Sus scrofa: one gene and its partner. The protein of the gene in region 1 purifies or fractionates together with the protein of each later gene. This does not show direct contact. Links are inferred from orthologs where the notes say so. Each region holds a gene or a part of one and is shown in the gene's direction. Other genes may lie near its edges.

Region 1 (3,743 bases):
CCAGCTGGAAACCCCTCCCATGTCCACCATGGCAGCTCCAGACAGGGCTGGCCACCGCCACCCGCCCTCCCCCACTTACGTGTGAGCCCAAGTTCTCCAGAGATTCCGCGCTTAGGACCCCACTCTCCAACCAGTCAGCCTCCCAGAGGCCAGTTAGCACCTGGCTCACCTGCCCAGCACAGCCCCTGGCAACACCTGAGCTTCCTGGCCGCACACACGCCTCTCCCCGCCCCGCACCTGAGACGCTCTCAACTGCAGTCGCCCTCCCTGCCTGCCCTTCCTGCACCCCTCTTCCAAGGACTGGGGCCGGCCACCTCTGTTGGCATCATGCCCCTTTCCTGGGAGCTGCCCCTAGGTGACAGCTCCCCACCTGCCCCAGTGACCAGAGCATCCTCTCCCCCAGGGTTCTGCTGCCCGCAAGAGGCAGCTGCGACCAGCACCCTCCTCCTCGCACGGGGCGCTTAGCCCACGGCCTCGGCTCTGCGGCCCGCGCGCGCTCCCCCGTCTCTTCCCCCCTGGGGTCCGGGAGATGGGCCTCCAGCGCCCCCCCCCCGCCCCCAGCTCCGCCGCGCGCCCCGCGAGCTCACCGAGCGGCAGCAGCGAGTGGCACAGCAGCGTGGCGGCCGTGCGGCGCAGGTGGTAGGGCACGAAGGCGGCGTCCTCGCTGCCCAGCCAGCCCGACAGCAGGTTCTGCACCGTGAGCCCGGCCGAGTGGAACTCGGTGGGGGTGAACACGAAGCATACGGCGAACACCAGGTAGGCCAGCGTGAAGGTGACCTCGGGGCTGTCCATCGCGCCGCCGTAGCCGCCGGGAAGCCGTCCGGGCGAGGCCCCCCGCCCCGGGGCGCAAAACAGGCCTCAGCGTCCGCGTCCGGTAGGCGCCGGGGCCGCGCGGGGCGCCCTGGGACGTGTAGTCCCCACCCTCAGGCCGCTCGCGGGGCGCTCTGGGAAATGAAGTTCCAGGACCCCGCTCGCGGCCAGACGTCCTGAGCCGCCGCGGCAGTCCTCGCGAGGGTTTGGAGCCTCCCCACGACCCGCCCTGAGGGCGGCGCTGAACTTGGCTCCATTCCACAGCTGGGAATACAGACTCGGGCGAGCAGCTCTCAGGCCCTGGGCCTTTCCGCGCAGCCCAGGCGCGTCTGCGCAGAGCCCGAGATTCCTGGGCGACGGCGGGCCCCGCACTCACCGCCCGCTCTCGAGCCGCGTTTCACCTTCGTCTGCTGGACGAGCCTGGGCTACCGAGAATTCCAGGGGCCGCCCTGCCTAGCGTGCCGCCTCGCCCGGAAGCGGAAGCCGCCTCTTGGGCGCAGCCTCCCATTGGCCTTCGACGCCCTGTGTCCCGCCCCGGCCACGCGCTGATTGGCCGTACGCGCCAACCGTCGATATTTGAATCGGCGGCGGGCAGCCGGGCTCCCGGACACGGCGCCTCCCGCTCCTTCGGTTCCGCGCAGCGGCCGGCAGGTAAGACGGCGACCGGGTCCGGGCTCGGGGCTCCGTTCCTGCCTCTTCTGGCCTGTCCTCGGGCCTTAGCCTGTCGCAGTGGCGGCCTGGACACGGATCTCTGACTCCTCCCGCGGCGCCGCGGTGCCCACAGTCGGCTCTCCTCGCCCCCCCCACCTCGGGGCGCCCCCTTCCCCGGGGTCCCATCTCGCCCGCACTCATCCAGCCGGCCCGGCCGCAGCTGGCAGCGGAGCCGGTGGGCTCTCGGCCCTGCCTCCCGAGGACGCCTAGTGGCCCCTATATCGCCCTCCACGAGGACCCTCCGGCCGGTCGCACCGGTCTTCCCTCTCCCCGGTGACCTCGCCCAGCCCCCGGCCCCCTGTGGCGGTGACCCGCACTGGCACTCCGCCCCTGACCAGCCTCCGCCTTGCTGCCCGGCCCCTCCTCCCGGCGCAGCCCCACCTGTGAGTCATCACCGACCCCGCGGCACCTGCAGCAGAAACCTGGGCTCCAGCGCTGATTCTCAAGAGCCTGCCGGCAGGCCCTCGACGCCAGTCCTCCTCCGCGCTGGCCTCGCCCCTTCTGCTCAGGAGCCGCCTCCCTGGCCCCCCGTCATTAGTAGGAGCCAAACCCGTAGAGGCTGCCATTGTCGCACCCCCACCTTCCCCAGGTGAAGGGATCCCACAGAAAGGGTGCTCTAAGTCTCCCTCCTGTGGCCCAGGGCCCTCCGGCCCCTCCCCGTTTCACCCCGTCCCCCAGGCCAAACCCAGTAGTCCCCCTTGACTTAGGCTTCCCTTTCCCACCTCCCCACGCCGCGTGTGGGCCTGCTGGCCAAGCCAGGGCTGACCGCTCCCCCCTGGCCACAGACAAGAGCCTCTGGCTCCCTGCTTCCCTCCTCCCGCTCCCTGCTCCACACGCAGCACCCAACCCCACACCCTCCAGGCGGCTCATCCCCCTGACCTCACCTCGTTCCAGGGCACCCGTGTTCCTTAGGCCCCAGCCGTTTTGCTCTTGCAGCTGAGGTCCCCGGGGCCCCCACCCCCAGCAGGTACCTGTGCTGCCCAGTTTTCTGGTGACTCCTAAGTTGGGAATGCCGGGTAGGTGACCATGATGAATTTGGGAAGGAGGAGTAGGACTATTCTAGAACCTCGTGGACCCGACCGGAGGCCCCTGGTGTGTTTCTAGTCTCCAGACCCTGGTGTAGAAGCACCTCAACTCCCCACAGGTGATCCTGCACGTGCCGCTTGTTACCATCCCTGCTCCTCCTCTGAGCCTTGGCCCTCCTGGCGCCCCCGTCGGTGGGCAGAGAGCCAGCTGCCCTGCCCTTCTGCTTTTCTGCCCTCCTCCATCTCGGCTGCCTGCTCCAGCCCCAGTGCCAAGGCCTCTGCCAGTTTTGTCACAGATCAGCCCTTATCTGTCTCCCAACTTTTACCCACAAAGTTCCAGTTATTTCGAGGACCTGTTCTTCCTTCTTGCCCTGTGGGCTGAGAGCCCTCCTAGCTCTTTCTCCCGGGAGGGGCAGCTCCCCCCAGAACGGGATAAGGACACGCTCTGGCAGAGGACATGCTGCCTGCGGTGTCTCACACACACACACACACGCCCGTGCAGGAAGGGGACGTCCACCCTGCGGCACCGTGGGGTCAGCTCGCTTGTCTTCACATATGTGCGTCTAGACAACAGGGTGTCCCCGCCCTCCTCTTGACTCACAACTCTCTGCTTTCCCAGAATGAGTCTGCACGTCTTCAGTGATGAAAATGTCACTGGTGACAGAAGTACAGAAAATTGCGACTTCCTGTTTTCACCACTGGAACTTACCGGAAGATCATCTGTCCTCCGGCTGTCCCAGAAAGAAAATGTGCCGCCCAAGAGCACAGCCAAAGCCACGAAGGTGAGCCCCGCAGATCTCCTGGGGGTCACACGTGCAGTCCCGGGGCCTGCTTTCCCGGGGCCTTAGCCAGCTGGCCGGGCGGGGCCCGGTGGCTTCTAGTGTGGTGGGGGAAGGTGTGAGTTATTGGACGAGTGCCTTCCTGTCTCCCCGACAGGTGACTTTTCAGACACCTCTGCGGGATCCACAGACTCACCGGATCTTAAGTCCCAGCATGGGCAGCAAGCTGGACGCTTCTTCAGCTCTAGGGGACACCGTTGGACTAGAAAGCTCTCATCAAGGCCGGGCCCGGAAAGAGAGGTAAGTGTTGGCGCTGTTTGGCAACCCGCAATCGGTAACCTCTCCGGCGGACTCCGCAGGAAAACGTCCGAGCTGGTTCCTCCTGGTCTCTGCTCCAAGTTTGTGTGGGAGTTGGAAG
Region 2 (3,743 bases), on another chromosome or scaffold:
TCAGAGAAGGTTTAACGACAGAGCACAGCCTAGAAATGACGTGAAGGTCAGGACGGCACCCAGGCAGCAGATTCAGCTTGGAAAAAGGCTGGGAAGGTTAACTTCCTCACCTCCTCGGCTCTGCCCTGAGCTGTTTGTTTTACACGCATACCTTGCACCCAGGCACCAGTGGAGTTTTAGGAGGCTCAGGCAAGAATGCTGAGCCCATACTTACAACCTGCCTCCAGACCTCAGTTTACCCATTTCGAAAAGTGGAACTGATGATTTCCCAGGCTCCCACACCAGCCTAGGGCATCTAACCCAGGCCAGGTGGCGCTCTACGGGAGGGGCATGACCGTGTTGGTGACGTCACGTGGGGCGGAGCCTGAGGGACCCGCTGCGGACGCCCGGGAAGGGTGTAGGGACTCAGCCCCAAGCTGGCGCGTGGGGGTGGGGGCTCGCGGGATCAGGCGCTAGGGAGAGTCCCCCCACCTCCGTGTCCTCGGATTGTTGGATGATCCCGCCATCATCCGCCGACGAAACTGAGTCACGGCGGGGAGTGCGTGGGGAGGGGGTCGTGGGCCTTATTCGCAGCGGGACCAGGAGTCCCATTCCCACTCAGGTCCTGCACCGCACCTCCCCTCCCCCCGCCCCCCCCCACACCCTGCGGCTGTGAGTCAGCGGCCAGCCGCGCCCCCTCGGCCCACTTCCTCCTCACCTTCCCTGGGCGGGCGCGGTGGGGGGGGCGGCAACGAAGGAGGTGGGGCCCCTCCTCACCCATCCCCCTCCTCGGAGGGGGGGGTGCACCCCTTAGTAGAGCTTCATAAACGGGCGGAGGAGAGAGACGTTGGGGGAGGTCCGAAGGTAGGATTTAAGGGAGAAAATTTGAATCTATGCTTAACCAGAGGGTCCTTCTCGCCCCCCACACTGAGTAGAATGTAAAGAAATGGAGAAGTCGATGGGGAGGGTGAGAAGAGATTGTGCCCCCACTGAGAGTCCCCAGAGAATTTCTATCATGAGAGAGAACTAAGGATGAAGGAAGGATCCCTTCCCCCCCAACAAGCTTGCCCCCCTAATTTGGGGGTGACTCCCCAGAGTGCATCGCTGTGCAATAACGTTGGGGAAGAGGGAAATAGCGGAAGTCTAAGGTTCCGCGTTGCCCTTTTAAGCACCCTCCACCCTCCAATCCCACAGCCTGGAGGTGTCCGCGGCCCCTTTAAGGCGCAGGGCATTGTGGGTGCGGGGAGTGGAATTTTGGAACGAAATGTAGCGAAGAGAAGTACAGTAGTAAGAGTAACATTGTAGCCGCCGCCAGCTGAGGGGGCGCGCCGGGGAGGGGACGCCGCACCCCCTTTCTGCCGCAAGGACCCCGGATCAGCTCCCCAAAGGGAGGAGGCGCCTGAGGATCCGCGCCGGCCCTGTCCACGTTCCCCCCAGGAAGCCGGACTCTATGGGGCGGGACCCTGGGGGAGACTGAGCAGAACCTGGAGCCAGCCCCGAACCCCTGAACCTCGAGCCAGGGGCGCCCCGGGAGCACCTACCCCGTGGGCGCTCCGCCCGCCAGCCGAGCAGCCATGAGGTGAGCCTCGAACTGCCTCTAGACCCTTCCCTGCCCGGCGCGGGATCCCGCCCCGCCTTTGTCCCCCTCCCCCCAGCTTGCTCCGGGCTGGAATTTAGGGACAGGGCACTGGGAGCCTCGAATTTGAGGCCGATCCCCCTTGGACGGGCTCCAAATATTGATCACTTTCCCTTGATTCCCAAGGCTCCGGGTGGTGCCGGTGAGGTTCTCCCGGGAGCCCTCAGATTTGGGGGCGCTCCGAGGACTCCCGAATTTTTAAAAGACTTTTTCGGAGGACTTCTAAGTTGTTAGGTACTCCCGGCCGGGAGGCTGGGATTTAGGCAGGGCTCAGACTCCCCCCAAATCTTAGCCGGCCCCAGGAGAGATTATGGGGGGGCCAGTTTGGAGGTCCCTGGGACCTGGAAGAGAGATTGAAACGAAGATCTTGGCTTTCGGGGTCCCTCTTTACATGGTGCCGGGAAACGTCTTCCCAAGAGGACTTTGCCCCTTAACTTCGAGGGCTCTTAACCCCCTAAATTTAGGGGTTCTCGTCCTCCTGTGGAGGAGGCTGGTGCGGACAGATCCACCGACCCAGATGCAGCCTCGAGGATCTGGTTCGGACTCCCCGCCGCTTCCCACTCACAATTTGCTTAAAACGGGCTGTGCCTAGGGCCGAGGGCGGCACCCCGGCCCCGTGCCAGAGGGGCAGCCCCTTTTCCCACCTGCGCGGGCCCTTGGGAGGGAGGGGGCGCGGCAGCTGGGGGAAGGGGGGCCTTTGTCTTCCTGACTCACCTGTCGAGACAGCTGGTGTGGGGGGCGGGCAAGGAGCGCCGTGGGCCGGCTGCTTTCCCCACCACAGCGCCTCCCCCTTCTCTCCACATCGCCCCCCCTTCCCCAGCGGTCCGGAGTTGTGCGGTTGTTGGAGGGGGCGTTGGGAAGCTTCAAGGTCATAGCCCTCTTCCCCTGGGAGCCGGGCTTCCCAAAGAGTTCTAGCTATCTTCCCAGGAATTTAATCCTGGGGACCGGGGGCCCAAGGCACCCAGGGATTTTGTCTTTCCTGGGCTTCGTTCAAAACTCCTGGGCTCACCTGAGGGCGGGGCCGGTGTTGGCTGGGGGACCCGACTAGGCCCCCCTATTCTCCCCTCCCCCTGGCCCCCCATAATCTCTCCCTTGAGCCTGACAATACTACCTCCCTTCCTCTACTCTCGCAGGGACTTCCTGCCCCAGAGCCCCCAGGTTGAGGGGGAGGCCCCGAGGACGGCTGGGGATTAACCCCCTGCTGCCCACATCCTCCCACTTCCCCCACATTCCCCGTACCCCTGCCCTCTCACATCAGGGTGGCATTGCTTTTTACGGCCATCAGAGAACCCCCATTCCCACGTTTGTTCCTTCTGCGGTAAAGGGATTGTTGGAAAATTTGGAGCAAGGGAGCACCCGCAGACCCGCACGAGACTTCCTGCCTAGCCTGCCCCTGCTCACAGCAACATCCCTTCAAGGTACGCCCCGAGGGGGCAGGTTTCGGGAGCCAGGCTCCGTTCCTTCACCTTCCTCCCCGGGGGACTCTCCTCTCCCCCAGCCCCCCAGCCCCGCCCCTTGCCTCCCCCCCCCCCCCGCCGCGTTTCCGGTCCCAGGCACCGTGGAAGGCGGATGGCGGATGTCCGAGTTAGTGCTGCCTCACTCACTGAGACCGTAAAAGGGCAGGAGCAATGTCTGGGCCTCCCGCCCCCCTCCCCCAGTCCCGGAGGCCCTCGCCCTCCCGCAAGGCCCCCGACTGCTGGCCTCGGCCAAACCTCCCACCTCCTGGGGGGTGGGCAGAAGTCGAGCCGAGGCCTGTCCCACCAGAGGGTTACTCCCACCTCGAGAGGGGTCTTCCCTGCCTGTGACCACACCCGACTTCCTGGGCCGGGCCCCTTCTCCCCCTGCCAGGATTCCAAAGGACCCATGCCCCTGTATGGGGGTGGGGGGCAGCTGGGGAAACTGAGGCTCAAAGAGAGAAAGACCTGGCCCAAGATCGCTCAGAAATTCCTAAGCACTACTGAGGAAGGGGAGGGGGCTGGGCTCCTCTGACTTCTGGCTGGTTTGGCTGGGGACAGTCTTGGGGGCAGTTGGAAGGGAGGATGTTGAGATGGAAAATTACAAGATACAGTTCTTTTTCTCTTGGTTTGACAAATATTTGTTGAGTGTCTGCTGTGTCCGGGATTCTGAG

Evidence for each region. Proteins that work in one complex are often made in the same cells at the same time.
Region 2: the proteins of TACC3 (region 1) and VASP purify together in Homo sapiens (co-immunoprecipitation; 3 studies listed by BioGRID and IntAct, with this or other methods). This does not show direct contact. The link is inferred for Sus scrofa from reciprocal best matches to the Homo sapiens genes TACC3 and VASP.

What each region holds. Positions count from the first base shown.
Region 1 is NC_010450.4:824,391-828,133, forward strand, and holds the start of TACC3 (transforming acidic coiled-coil-containing protein 3), read left to right. Parts: upstream 1-1,042; 5' UTR 1,043-1,461; exon of another isoform or gene 1,462-1,843; intron 1,844-2,415; exon of another isoform or gene 2,416-2,665; intron 2,666-3,165; 5' UTR 3,166-3,166; coding exon 3,167-3,328; intron 3,329-3,482; coding exon 3,483-3,625; intron 3,626-3,743. Other genes in the region: TMEM129 (E3 ubiquitin-protein ligase TM129), read right to left, coding at 588-792. UniProt on the Homo sapiens protein: Plays a role in the microtubule-dependent coupling of the nucleus and the centrosome. Involved in the processes that regulate centrosome-mediated interkinetic nuclear migration (INM) of neural progenitors.
Region 2 is NC_010448.4:51,872,446-51,876,188, forward strand, and holds the start of VASP (vasodilator-stimulated phosphoprotein), read left to right. Parts: upstream 1-1,229; 5' UTR 1,230-1,553; coding exon of another isoform or gene 1,554-1,558; intron 1,559-2,329; exon of another isoform or gene 2,330-2,632; intron 2,633-2,939; exon of another isoform or gene 2,940-3,033; intron 3,034-3,743. UniProt on the Homo sapiens protein: Ena/VASP proteins are actin-associated proteins involved in a range of processes dependent on cytoskeleton remodeling and cell polarity such as axon guidance, lamellipodial and filopodial dynamics, platelet activation and cell migration.